Rattus norvegicus: one gene and its partner. The protein of the gene in region 2 interacts with the protein of the main gene of each other region in a biochemical or structural test. Links are inferred from orthologs where the notes say so. Each region holds a gene or a part of one and is shown on either strand. Other genes may lie near its edges. The genes, in order: Dcaf7 and Dyrk1a.

Region 1 (7,302 bases), on a different chromosome or scaffold from region 2:
GAAAGGAGGACAGAGATGGGAACGGAACATATTTGGCAGGAAGGCAAGTGGGAGAGCTGCTTAGGAGAAGAGGGGACAGGAAGAGAGAAAGACAGGGAAACAGGGTTGGGAAGGAGGAAGGATCAGAACAAAATATAATGAATGGGATGTATGAAAATACCACAAGACATTCTTCTTTAAAATAACAGAAAATTAATTTTAAAAAAGGGGAATGTACAAATTGCTTCCATTTATACCTTTATTGACAGTAAATAAGTGCCAATCCTCCCATATCTCTGAAAACATAAAAATTAAAAATAAGCTTTCTGCTAATCTAACAGGAAAAGATGGCATGTTTTACACCCGTTTATTACTGAGGTTGAGCATAAGAACTCATCATGTCAGCTCTTCCCTCCATCTGTTAGCCTCATAGCTGAGGGTTTTCTTGTCTCATTGCTCTGGTGGGAGCTCCTCTCCAACAATGCCTACACTCAGGCCTCCCTTCCCACACCTACTCTTTCTTTCTCAGTGTAATTTCTGTTTTCCCCACTCCCAGCACAGGGATTGAATCCAGGACATCGCACACACTAGTCAAGAATCCTACCCACTCAGCTCTCTCCTCAGCTTTGTTTTCACTTTTTAAGACAGGTTCTCACAAAGTCAACCTGGCTAGCCTTAACTTCGCTCTATAGCCCAGGCTAGCCTTGACTTCATGCTCCCCTTCTTTAGGCTCCCAAGTAATTGGCAACCTGTCCTCCTCCTTCTTGTCCCAAAAGACTTTTCCCTTTGTCCAACAAACTCCTGTTGTGGAGAAGTGCAGTTCTGCACTATAGCCTTCTTAGGTCCAGCATCCTACCACTCTTCCTTACACATTGAGGGAGGGCTGGAAATTAGCCCTGACAGCTGTCATCCTGCGACGGTCAGTCTTTCCCTCCAGTCTCCCCCTGCTCTGCTGGGTCTCGTCTGACTCCTACCTTCAGTGCCTTGTGCGGCCACTCTTCACAACTTTCTCCAACATGTGAGACAAAGCCCTAGAGAGGAGAGCTATGAAGCAGAATCATGTTTACTCATTGAAAAAAAAATATGTTGGTGCTTTAAAAAAAACAGTCTTGCTGTCTCTCCCAGACTGGCCTTGAAGCTGGGACCTACTGAGATTTAAGGCACATTACCACCCTTGGCCTATTTTTTTCCTCGTTTTTATTTTTTGAAAGATTGCTTTTTAAAATTTTGTTTATGTACAGAATGTTTGACAGTCATGTGGAAATCCTTTAAATTTTTATTAGATTTTGTTACGTGTGTATGTGTATTTCACCAATGCCTGTTGGTTCCCCTGGAACTGGGTTATGAGCCACCATGTGGGTGGTAGGAGTTAGCCCTGGTTCTCTGTAAAAGTCCTCCCTCTAGCACATGATAGTCACAGCCATGCCTTCCCCAGTTCGTGTGGCTTTGGATGAGTTGTCTGCTTCGTCTCAGTTTCTTTCTGTGTTAAGATGAGGTAGAGTCAGATAACTTAGTTAGAAAGGTTTTTGTTCTTGTTCTGCGGATTTAACCAAGGACCTCGTGCATGGTTTGGTTACACCAACAGCTTGGGAAAGTGATTAATGACTCCAAGTGTTGGTTGATTTGAATAACACAGACATTTATCCCACACTTAAATGACCACTATGGAGTTCCACATCAGCACTGTGTATCCTAAAGTGGAATAAATTCTCTCTCTTCACAGAGCTTATGACAACAAACAAAGAAGGAGATATGGCACTTTTATTTTAGAAAGACAAAACCCACAAGGTAGTGGAACAGGGCGACATATGTTGGTAATCCCTGCCCTTGGGAGGTGGAGGCAGGTGGATAAGGAGTTCAAATCCCACCTGGGCTACATGAGACTGTCCCAAAACATAATAACCTCTTAAGATAGGAATGGTATATGTTTATTATCCACAGAAATCAAAGGAAAGATGCATGCTTCTAGGGTTTTTGTTTGAAACAAGGTCTTACTTTGTAACTCTGATTGGTTGGGAGCTCACTATGTAGCCCAGGCTAGCCTCAAACTTATAATAATCCTCCTGCCTCACCCTTTCAAAGGCTGGGATTACAGGTGACAGCCACCAGGCCCAGCTCGAGGGTTATTTTATATTACATACTTGCTCCTCAGGAGGCACTGGATATGTTCATAGTTTTAAATGAGGCACTGGAGAGATGGCTCAGCTGACAAGAGCACTTGCTGCTATTGCAGAAGACCTGTGGTCATTCGGTTCCTAGCACTCACACTGGGTAGCTTACAACAGCCTGCAACTCCAGCTCAGGGACACCCTCTTCTGGCCTCTGCAGGCACTCAACTTCTCCTTTTTTAGATAAAAAACTCTGGAAGAACTTAAAAGGGGAAAAAATTAATTTGTGTGAAAAAAACCCCACAGTCCTTTGAGAATATTTTACTTTTACTTCTAACAAGAATCCTTAAATAATATTTCTAGTGGTCTTAACCTTACAAACACTACAGACACCAGAACCCTGAAACACAGCTACAGGGTTATTGCCACTGTGGGTGGAGGGCGGGGGGGAGGGGGACAAAAGCCACTAGAGAGGAGAAAAGAAATAAGGCTCTTCCTTAGGAAAGGGCAGCTCAGTACACACTCCCTGGGACTGTATATGTGTGGTGTCTGGGCAATCAAAGTCCATTCTTTTCATCCATTTCTCAAAGAAGACTCCAAAGAAACGGGGACCTTTACCCAGAGAAACATGTGTGCTCCTGAAATACTATAAATGAACCTAAATATTCAAATGTTTTCACCTGGACCTTCACATGTAAAACATGTAAGCCCTCTCAGAAAAAATAAAAATTCGGTCTGTGCAATGCCTTATAGTTAAATCCTAGACCATCTACTTCTTCCACTCCTCCCCCCCATCTTGTCATTTGTCTCCAGTCTGATGTTCATAGGAGTAAGCCAGAGTACTGGCTCTAAACACCACTGGCCACAGCTTTCTGTAGCTCTGATTACTGTCGTTCGTATTTGTTTTCACCCAAATTACAACAAAAGAATGAAGGTAAGAGATTAGGGAAAGAAAATTCTTCCTAATACTTTCAAACCTATATCCTGCATATAAAAACTCTCCTTCTACCAGCATTTTGTTGGAGTGATGATGTCCAGCAATGTTGCAAATCAACGTGTAAGGAACAACGAGAAGAATAGGTCAAACGTCATCTTTCTCTATTCAGAAATAATGGCGGGATAATGCCACAGACTAAGGTTTCCAAGGATAGACTGTTTGGGGGAGGGTGAACATCGAGGAGCAAAACCAGTGACCAATGACAACCTAGCACTAGGGCTCTGTATCCATGAGAAACACCTGAGATGGGGAAGATCTTGCAATAAATAGCCCCAACAGAAATCTCGCGTGGCCAGGAATGCACGACCACCAATCCAAGCGCCCGCATCTTCCTCCACTGCCTCTCTCCCGCCCCCCACCTAGCAACAGAAGCACTGCGACAGAAGTGGGGGAAATGAGAGGGACGGAGGAAGACATGGCTTTGGGGGGTGTAACTCCGGTCTGAAACCTGCTACTACCATCAAAAATCTTATCTGCCTCAGGCATGTCACAACACCGTGCCTCGGTTTCCCCGGCTGTCAAAACTAAATAAGAGGCAACGAGTGTGACACCCTCAGCAACAGGACCTCAGAGGACCCACCCCCTTGTAAAGGCGAGTTCGCAGGAGACTTGTGAGATCTGGGGCTGCCGCCCACCTCGAGCGTTCCTCGCCAGCTACAAGCTGAGCCCCCTCACAACTTACCTTGTTGTTGTACTCCTCCACGAAGCTGCCCAGCGCCAGGCGAAAGCGCTTGTCCGGCCGCACGCTCCAGTTCATGGCGTACACAGTCCAGGGCGCTTCATATTTGTAGATCTCCTTCCGTTTGCCGTGCAGGGACATGGTGGCGGCTGGGCCGCAGAGACGGCCGGAGAGGCAGCGGGCTGAGGCACAAGACGGGCGGGGAGCGGGGCTTGGGTCCGCGGGTCCGAGGGGAGGCGGGGCCCGGGCGGTCAAGAACGGCCTAGCCCTCCAGCAGGTCCTCAGCTACACACACACACTCGGCCGGGCCGGACCACCAGTTTCAAACCAGCTCGGGCAGCGACTACCACCTTCCGTTTGGGATGTCGGCCCGCCCTCTCGGAACGGAAGCCACGCGACCCCACAGCGGCGACGAGCGTTGGCTACCGGGCACGTCCTTTCTAAACTGTTCCTTCTTTTCATTGGTCGACACAGTGGTAGCGCCCGCACCCTCCACACAATTGGTCAAAATGTTTGTCATTCTACTTATTCGCCCCGCCCAGCTCCTGGAGGCGGGCTCTTTTGAAGTCCCAAAGATCATTGGCTACCCAAGATGTCAGTCAGACGGATAACGGCGCAGTGCGGGTGAATGGGGGCGTGGGTGACATAGGGGCAAGTGTGCCCCGCTACTGATCCACATTCTAGGCCAAGAGTAAAGCCTGCCACTTCTCCATTGCTGCTGCTGTTCTGATCGCCTCTATCCACTGAGAGTAACGGTCAAATCCACTTTCATAGATGACCTCCTGCCTTTATTTCATCGCCCTAAGTCCAGCGGTCCCTCAGCCTTTGCCAGCCGAGAACTCTTTCTAGCTCCAATGCCCCCTTTTTAACTGTTCCCTTACAGGCCTGATAGAGACCTTCAGGGACAGGCTAGTTTGATTAAGGCTTTCAAATACATACTAAAAAGACTCCTGACTTCTAGGATTGATTTGCAATGGACCTGGCTTTTAGTAACTTACCTTCCTCTCCTGGGGTGTTCAGAACCCAAATGCTAATCCAACCTTAAATATCTATATGCCATGAGTTTGAAATGCAGAAAAGCCTGGATCTAGGTACACCATTATAAATGTAAATGCTTTTAACGATATTGAATGCTTAGGCAGCATTATAAAACACAATTTTTAAGATACGTTATTTAATTTTATGGGTATTTGTATGTGCCTGAGTGGAAGTGTACCACATGTGGACAAGTGTCCACGGAGGTCGGAAGAGGCATCTGATCCCTTGGAACTGGAGTTACAGATGGCTGTGAGATACCATCTGAGAGCCAGGGCTCCAAGCCACGTGCTCTGCACGAGCATCCAGTGCTCTTGAGGTCTATACTATATCTCTCCAGCCCATAAAATACAACTTGTAATGCATGTGATTTTAACAGAAACAAACACTGGGAGCCTCGAGGGACAGGGTATACACTTATCAATCATCTTTTAGTAACGGCCACCCGTAGGAGCAAGTCTACTCTGCACTTTTTTTTTCTTTCTTTCTTTTTTTTTTTTTAATACAAAGAGCCTACCCCTGGTGTTGCAGACCTCTAACCCAGCTCTTGGGAAGTAGAGTTAGGAGGATCAGAAAGTCACTGTCATTCTGGGCTACAGAGCCAGTTAGAGGCAGTCTGAGCAAGTTGAGAATGTTTCAAAATAGTAAAAAGAAAAAAATTAAAAAGTAACTGGATGTCTAGGTATGTATTTTATTGAAAAGTTTGTTTCTGTGCTTATCAGGAAAGTTGGTCCATGATTTTCTATTGGTTACACCATTTCTGATTTCTCAGTGGGCTAATAATGACTTTGCAGAACGGTCTTAGTAGAGGTCTTTGTATTTTATGCAACAGGTCTTTTTTAGAGGTGGGTAGACTTTGGCAATGAATCCATCCAGTCCTGGGCATTTCCTGGCTCAGTGCTGCTTCACTTGTTGCTTGCTATGGATCTGATTAAACTGCTAGCATGCTCTTGATTTAATTTTGTAGGTTATATATGTATAGGAATTCACCCGCTTTTTTCTAGACTTTTTTTTTCAGGCATAGAATATAAACTCGAAAGGGATTCCTAATGGTCCTCTGAATTTCTTTGGAATCTGTTGATGTCCTGTGACGATTCCTGACTTGAAAGACTCTGGAGTCGCTAACAAGCTTTGGAGAATGCGTGGAAGGGATTATTCAGATTGGGTTTGTTGGAGGCTCACCTTAACTGTGGGCGATTCCATCCCATGGTCTGGGGTGCCCTGAGTGTGGGCACCCATCCCTCTCTGCTTTCTGGCTGTAGACACAATGTGACCATTTGGTTGACAGACTGACTTTTATCCTGTGATTACCAGTCTGTAGGTGTCTTTGCCATTGAAGTGGTTTTGGGTTGCTTTGTTTTGTTTTGAGGCAACAGGCAGTCCGCTCTTGGTTTTTAAATGTTCGTTGGTGAGTTCAGGGTATTTCCAGTTAAGATTATTATTGACAGATCCTTGCTAATGTCTGCAGTTGTGTGGGTTGGATTATCTTAGTATGTTGTTCTGGTTCCTGGGCTGCTACCCATGCCTGTTCTCTCTCAGATTCTGCAGTGCTGCATTTACAGGCATGAGCTACTTTTAAAAAAAATTGTGCCTAGGAAGTGCAAGGCCCTGGGTTCGGTCCCCAGCTCCGAAAAAAAGAACAAAAAAAAATTGTGTGCAGGTATGAAGGTGAGAAGGTACACATACATGTGTTTATGAGTACATATATGTGTGTGCATGCTGAAGCCAGAAGGTAACCTTAGGTGCTGTTCTCAGGAATGCTACCCACCTCCTTTGAGACAGTGGCTCCCTTTGACCTCGAGTTCAATAATTAGGATAGAATGGCTGGCCAGTGAATCTCAGGGATCCTGCTGTCTTAGCCTCCCACCCCCACCCCAGTGCTAGGATTGCAAGTACATACCATCACTGCAGGGACTTTTATTAGGGTTTGGGGGTTCAGGTCCTCAAGCATTTTACCCACTGAGCCATCCTGCTAGCCCCCACATGTTGCTTTGAATTAGCGTTGAAGTTTCACTAAGGGTACAAAGAGTGAACGTTTTAGTTCGTGTAAACACTTGCAAACGTGTGCTCGTATATTCACAGACAGACTCTGAGGCACCAAACAGAAATCGCAAAGGGAAGGAAAAATGGACTCGGGGGATGGATTTGCACTTTCTGAGAAGCAATGACGCTTTAACAGGTTTCTCGAGCGAGGTGGCATGGATTGAAACTGTGTTCTCCCTTTTCTAGTGTGCTAAGTTTACCTTTTTATTGAAATATCATTTACATATGGGGGTGCGCATGTTTTTCCAACCAGCACACATTCATATACATATCGCCAGAAAGCAAATACTGACATGCCCGGAAGGCTTGCTCATGCTCTGCTAAGTGCCACAGACTCTGCTACCAACCCAAGACCTCTCATGAGGACAGTAAAAATGATTTCCTAAGGCTCTTTCGAGGGTTAACAGAACAGCTATGTGCAGGACAGAATGGTGGAATGCTGAACAAACACTGAAAGTGGC
Region 2 (6,605 bases):
TTACTGCTTCATGGTATTTCATTGACTATACAGGGATTTATTATCTGTCAATGAACTTTTTTTGTTTATATCTAATTAGAGTCTAATTGATTAAGGCTAGAAAGAACACCACTCATCTTTTTTCTAGTGACGGTGTCTGAGAATTGCCAGGCCCATGTGTGTTTAGCATTGTTTGTGAGCTTGCCGTAATGTGTAGGGGCAGTGTTGAACATCGCTGGTTGACAACTGCCTGTCTGTAGAGATCTGATTTCATACTTTTCTGTTAAACCAAGGCACCTTCTGTGTTGGCAAGTGTGACTCTTCCTGCGCTGTCTGTAACCTAGCAGCACATGTTAGTGTCCTACAGCCTCCTCCACTCACGTGTCAAAGCCCTGCTGGAGCTGCAGTGACACAGACTTTCTGTGAGCCTTCCCCCACCTGCAGAGATGATGGTCATGTGATCCTTGCTCCCGCCACTCATTAAAGAGTGGATTTTTTAATAGACATGCAATATTTTATCCTGATCTGTGATAAAAGCACACTTGGTCCTGGCATTTCATGTAGCACTGAGTTAAATGCTGGTCTGGTAAGAGTGGTATTCTCATATGTAGTAGTGGTGTTCCTGATGTAGCCTGTAATTTGTTTTTTTTTTTAACAATTATCTTGAATCTTGTTCCGTTATTTCAAAATATTTGAGAATTTTCTAGATATCTTAATTCATCTCTACTTAAATAGCACCGTGTTTTCCAAATGTGATTTCATTTATTTAAATTATGTAGAGTCTGGTTTTACAGTCTAGAATGGACTCTGTCTTGGTGATTCTTTTCATGCGTATCTGATAACGGAGGGGTGTGTGTGTGTCTGTCTGTCTGTCTGTCTTTCTTTCTTTCTTTTCTCTGTCAACATCCGAGGGGCATTTTAACCTTCAGTGATGTACTAGTTACTTTTCTTGTCACTAATGCCTGGCAGGAAGCAACTTCGTGGAGTATGGCTTTTCTTCAGTGCACAGTCTAGGAGCACTACCTCAGTTCTTCAGGCAGAGGTAGTTCACTGCCTGTTTGAGCTGAGGCTGTTTGCTCGTGGATTTGCTAACCAGGAAGCAGAGGCAGGCATGCAGCTGAGGCTGGGCCTCCCCAGTGCGCTGCCCCCATCTTAGCTCTGTCTGCCTCCTGGAGGCTCTTCTGCCTCTCCAGTCTGAGCTATGCTAGGGACCAAGTATTCAACGCACGGTCAGATCACTTTGAACCATTACAGGCCGTAGTTATGTTGCAGTTGTCTTTAGTTGTGTCATGGTTTTTAAAGGTTTGTTGGTAGTTTTGTTGTGATTTCTGATGAACTGATGCTTATATTGTCATGAAATGTCCTGTATGTGTGTTAGTGCCCTGCCCCGGCAGGTTTTTTATCCTGACAATTTGCATGCGTGTGTGCGTGCATGCGTGCGTGATGGTTGCACACATGAAACTCCTCAACTTTAAACCTTTCTCATCAAGCATGACTTATATGCAACATATAGGCAGGACTTGTTTTAACATCTGCTCCTTTTTACAGTGAATATTTATTTCATTCAGAGCAGTGGGTTTAAGGTTTGTCTTTCATTTAGTTTGTCTGTTTCTCCTTCTTGTTGAGTTTGGAGCTGCTGAGTGCTCTGGAGACTTGTTTTCTCAGCTGACTTCTCAGTTGTGTGTATAGTGTTCAGTGTTGTCTCACAATATGCATCTTTATGTCAGGTTGCCCTTAGATACCTACGCTTTATCCCTTGTATGTTATAACTCCCTTCTAGCTCTTGAGTGCTTGTATGTAAACATCACTTCTGCATGTCTTAGAATCCTTAGAACACATCGACTGTTTACCTCAAGGAAAGGGAAGTGCTGTAGGCACACTGGGTGAGGAGCCCTTGCTGCCATCTTGTATCCGTGTCCCGCCTGTGCCCAGCTTTTTCAGTGCGCAGCTTGTGCTTATGATTGGAGCATCTGCTGCCTCGGGATACAGCTAATCGCTGTCTGTTCTTAAACTGTCTTCACGGGTCAGAATGCTAGATTAGCACGCCCAAGAAAGATGGTCTGCCTCTTTCTTAGGTGCAGTGTGAGGAAAGTCAGTGTTTGTTCTTGGCACTATTTATTGTGATGTGGTTTTCCTTTCCCTTCAGGGTGCTTGAACAGGTTATCTTTATACTTGGTTATTATGCATTTGTGCTCTTTGATTTGTTTTGTGTGTACTCTCAGAGGGTGTTGAAATCCTTGGGTTTGTGAACTGTGCCTTTTGTAGCACCTCAGGTGTTATCAAATGGTTATCCTGACCAGTCTTCCTTCTAGTTGTCTAGTTCCGTGGATGCATGTTCTGCCATGCTCAGTGTTGCCCTGAGATCCTCAGGCTTCAGAGGGGCGTGCAGTAGCACCTACCGTGCTCTTATGTTTTGAATTTGGTTAATATTTTTGCTCTGTTTTTTGGTCACTTTTTTTTTCACCTTGGCTCCCTAACATTCCAAATCTATTCTGCTGTTGGAAGTGTTCAGCAGGCTGGAGAAATACATGTCATGGGCCACTCCTTAAAATCCACCTAAATGGAGGATGTATTTTTGGTACTTTTGTCATCCCAGTGGGGGCTAGGGGCAGGCAAGATGGAGACACCCTGAGGTTCCAGGCCAGTAAGAGACCTGTCTAAAGAAAGGAGAAAGTGACACTGGGGCTGCTTGGTCACAACACGCAAATGTAAAGCAGGGTCTCCACTTAGTATTTTACTTTAAAAATTCATATTTGTCCTTATTTTTTACAGTTTCTCCTTTTCTGAAATCCCATCTATTCATGCATGTTGCCTATCTTCTATTAAACTATATACCTTACACATTTATTACTAAAGTTCCCTGCCTGCTAGTTCCCTGCCTGGGAAACGCCGGGCCATTTGTCAGCACGGATTGTTGACTCATTTTCCCCACTAAATTATAGACTCTGTTATTTGTTTCTGTAATTTTTTTAAAAAAACCTTTTAAAAAAGTTTCAGTTTTTCTGTATTTGAGGATGGCTGACTTGTGTCATTTCCATGAGAAGCAGACACGTCTCTTGTACTGTCAGAAAGGTCTGAGTGTGGGTGTTTAGTGTGTGACTCAGGTTTATTACCATCTGAGGAGGCTCCTTCAAGCATTGTTTGCTTACAACTGAAGGAGGCTCTCAAGCTCTGGACACACTGCCACTCACTAGCAGCCCAGGCATTGTCCTAGCGCCTTTGCTGCCTTCCCTGAGTGGCTGTTAATGCCTTGTCAGATCAAGGCTGAGTTACCCTTGCTTGGGTCTGGCAAGGTGGCCCCTTCTCCCCTTACAGGACTCTTGTAACCTGATAGCAGCTCTTTGGGGCTGGGATGTGGTCAGTATAAGGACACTTGCTGAACATGTACAACTGTGATTTGTCCTGTTTCCTGACTTTAAACAGCAGTTAGCATCTACTTAGCGTTTGTAGAAAGGTGGAAGACGACATTGTTCCCTGTTACTGATGAGTATCAGTAAATGCCATCCTGTGGTTAAGCAGCTCATGAACCATTTTGTAAAAGAAAAGGAGCAGTCAGCTTTTCTCTGTCTGAGTAGGTTTGGGTGGACTGATCCCTCTACTTTGAGTGACATGCACAGCTTTACTGAGCCACCTTTAGGGAGGCAGTGCAGCATGTTCTTTGGTGCAGAGCAAACCTGGCATTGTGATGGGCACTTTAATTCCAGTTGCAGCATTTGGGAGGCAGAGGCAGGCAGACCCCCATGAGTTTCAACCTAACCTGTTCTATGTGTACTGAGCTGCAAGTCAACCAAGACTACACAGTAAGACCCTGTCTCAAAACACACATTACTTAGAGAGTGAAGCAGGTCAGAACCCATTCTGCCCTGCTCTGTGGAAGCCATCATGGTTGGAGATTTGTGGATTTCTGTGTCTTGCTCTGTCTTTGCTTGCTTGTCTCACAGCCTTGAAAGCAGGAGCCATGCTCCTGAGTGAAGCAGCTTTAGAAACCTGGCTTCGGGCGGGGCCAGAGGGCGGGGCTGCTGAGCTCCGCTCTGATATGCCTTGTCTTTGGTTTTGCTCTTAAAACCATACTGAGCATGGGTGTTAGGTGGGCTGGGGGTGGGGGATCTAGCTATTTCAATAATGGTCTTTCTTCACAAAGCCTTGTATATTTGGAGTAGATCATGTAAATGTTACATCTCCTACCAAACTTAGAGACAAGTTTTTGTTCTCTCTTCTCTACAGGAGTACAAACCACCAGGAACCCGTAAACTTCATAATATTCTTGGAGTGGAAACAGGAGGACCTGGCGGGCGGCGTGCTGGGGAGTCAGGTCACACTGTAGCTGACTACTTGAAGTTCAAAGACCTCATTTTAAGGATGCTTGATTATGACCCCAAAACTCGGATTCAACCTTATTATGCCCTGCAGCACAGTTTTTTCAAGAAAACAGCTGATGAAGGTACAAACACAAGCAACAGTGTGTCCACCAGCCCTGCCATGGAGCAGTCCCAGTCTTCAGGCACCACCTCCAGCACCTCCTCCAGCTCAGGTCAGCGGGGTGGGGGTGGGGTGGGGGTGGGGGTGCACACAGCGGGCTGTTTGTAGCTTTCTGTTTGCTGGGGGCAGGGGTGTTTCCTTTCTCTTTAGGTTTTTTGAGCTAGGGTTCCTCTCTGTAGCCTTGGCTATCCTGGACTTTCCTTTGTAGACCATTCTGGCCTTGAACTCACAGAGATCCTCCTGCCTCTGCCTTCTGAGGCTGGGATTTAAGGCCCAGTTCCAGTGTGGGATTCTTTCAGAGTATTTATTATAAACTAATTGTTTGAATTTGAATTTTGTAAATGGGTAGCAAGGGATTGTTTTACTTTAATCTGTTCTGTGTGTGTCTCTTAATTCAGTCTCTGTATACACCTGCCCGGCTGTATAGTTAGTAGCAAATTAACTGTTAAATGAGCACGTGATCACTATCTGCCTGACAGGTAGCAACAAAGCTACTTATAGCCAAGTAAATGGACTTGAATGTCCATTTAAATGGACTCTGTCCTTGAATTTTTGCTTTTCTGAGGAGAACCTGGCTGTATAACAGGTGATGTAGGAAGACATCTAATATTCCAGTAGCTTTGTGGTATATTTCAAGTTAATACCGTAGCTTGAAAGTTTTGTGTATCTGCATATGTGCTGTGTAGTACATGCACGTATGTGTGCATATGTACACACCTAAGGTCACATGTAGGGGCATGACACTGTGTGTCTTCCTTATTACTTGGAAATAGGAGTCCCACTGCACCAGAGTCCTGCTGTTGTATCCAGGCTGCCTGGCCAGTGAGTTCTTGGGAGTGGCACCCCCTTCCCCAAGTCCTGGGGTTCATTCAGGCCAGGTTTTTATATGAATGCTGGAGACCCACACACAGGTCCAAGCACTTGCAGAGCAAGGACTCTTACCTGAATGTCCTTTTTACCCTGAGTGACAGTAACGGCAGTCTTAGATACTAACTTGAGCAGAATTAGCTTTAAACTCACAAGTTATTCCGTGTCCTGATGTTAAAGGTGGATCCTCGGGAACGAGCAACAGTGGGAGAGCCAGGTCGGATCCGACGCACCAGCATCGGCACAGTGGCGGGCACTTCGCTGCTGCTGTCCAGGCCATGGACTGTGAGACACATAGTCCCCAGGTGAGCGTCCCAGGCTCCTGCCACGACCCCACTAGCTTTGGCTGTATGAGCTGCCATGGGCTGTCAGGGTGACTATGTGTGTGTCCTTCGTTCTAAAGGCATGGAGTGTCCTTACTGCTTAGCAAATAAAACTCCGCTCCTTGTTAGGAGTGAGAGCACACATTGGGTAAACACGCTCTCCACTGTCCTCCCAGGTGTCCTCCACTGTCCCTCCACTGTCCCTCCACTGTCCCTCCACTGTCCTCCCAGGTGTCCTCCACTGTCCCTCCACTGTCCCTCCACTGTCCTCCACTGCCCTCCACTGCCCTCCACTGCCCTCCACTGTCCTCCACTGTCCCCCCAGGTGTCCCCAGGTTTATCTTCTCACTTGCCACAGCGGCTTCTGGATGTCAGCAGTTTGCTCCCTGCCTCTCAGTAGGTACTGAGACCTCTAGGTGCACCGTGAGTTTACTCTGTGAGCTGTGCAGTCTGGACCCTGTCGTTAGCCTCTCGGGGCTTCTAGCATTCCTCATCCTGCTTCTGAATCAGTTTGTGATGCACTTTTTTTTTTCTTCTTTTTCTTTTTTCTTTTTTTCGGAGCTGGGGACCGAACCCAGGGCCTTGTGCTTGCTAGGCAAGCGCTCTACCACTGAGCTAAATCCCCAGCCCCTGTGATGCATTTTTAACCTTGGAAGTATTTGCTTTGCTTTTTAAACTTACTGACGTTAATAAGTGTAATAATAAAGTAATGTTAAGGTTTGTGTGGAGCATGTAGGAGGGTAGAACTGTAGAGATGCCATCTTAGCTATGTCTCATTGCCATGGTAAAGACGCAGGTAGAAACAGTGTCAGGATGACAGGGTGGACTCTGGCTCTCAGTTCAAAAGGAAATCATACATTATGTCAGGGAAGACGTGACAGCAGGCAGGGGAAGCAGGGTGGCAGGGTCAGGAAGCCTCTGCAAGCAAGAAAGAGGAAATGGGGCTGCGCTATAGAG

The links.
Region 1: the proteins of Dyrk1a (region 2) and Dcaf7 form a complex in vitro, tested with the Homo sapiens proteins (2 studies listed by BioGRID). The link is inferred for Rattus norvegicus from reciprocal best matches to the Homo sapiens genes DYRK1A and DCAF7.

What each region holds. Positions count from the first base shown.
Region 1 is NC_086028.1:91,470,730-91,478,031, reverse strand, and holds the start of Dcaf7 (DDB1- and CUL4-associated factor 7), read right to left. Parts: upstream 4,133-7,302; 5' UTR 3,905-4,132; coding exon 3,767-3,904; intron 1-3,766. UniProt on the Homo sapiens protein: Involved in craniofacial development. Acts upstream of the EDN1 pathway and is required for formation of the upper jaw equivalent, the palatoquadrate. The activity required for EDN1 pathway function differs between the first and second arches.
Region 2 is NC_086029.1:47,464,398-47,471,002, forward strand, and holds part of Dyrk1a (dual specificity tyrosine-phosphorylation-regulated kinase 1A), read left to right. Parts: intron 1-4,203; coding exon 4,204-4,510; intron 4,511-5,505; coding exon 5,506-5,630; intron 5,631-6,605. UniProt on the Homo sapiens protein: Dual-specificity kinase which possesses both serine/threonine and tyrosine kinase activities. Exhibits a substrate preference for proline at position P+1 and arginine at position P-3.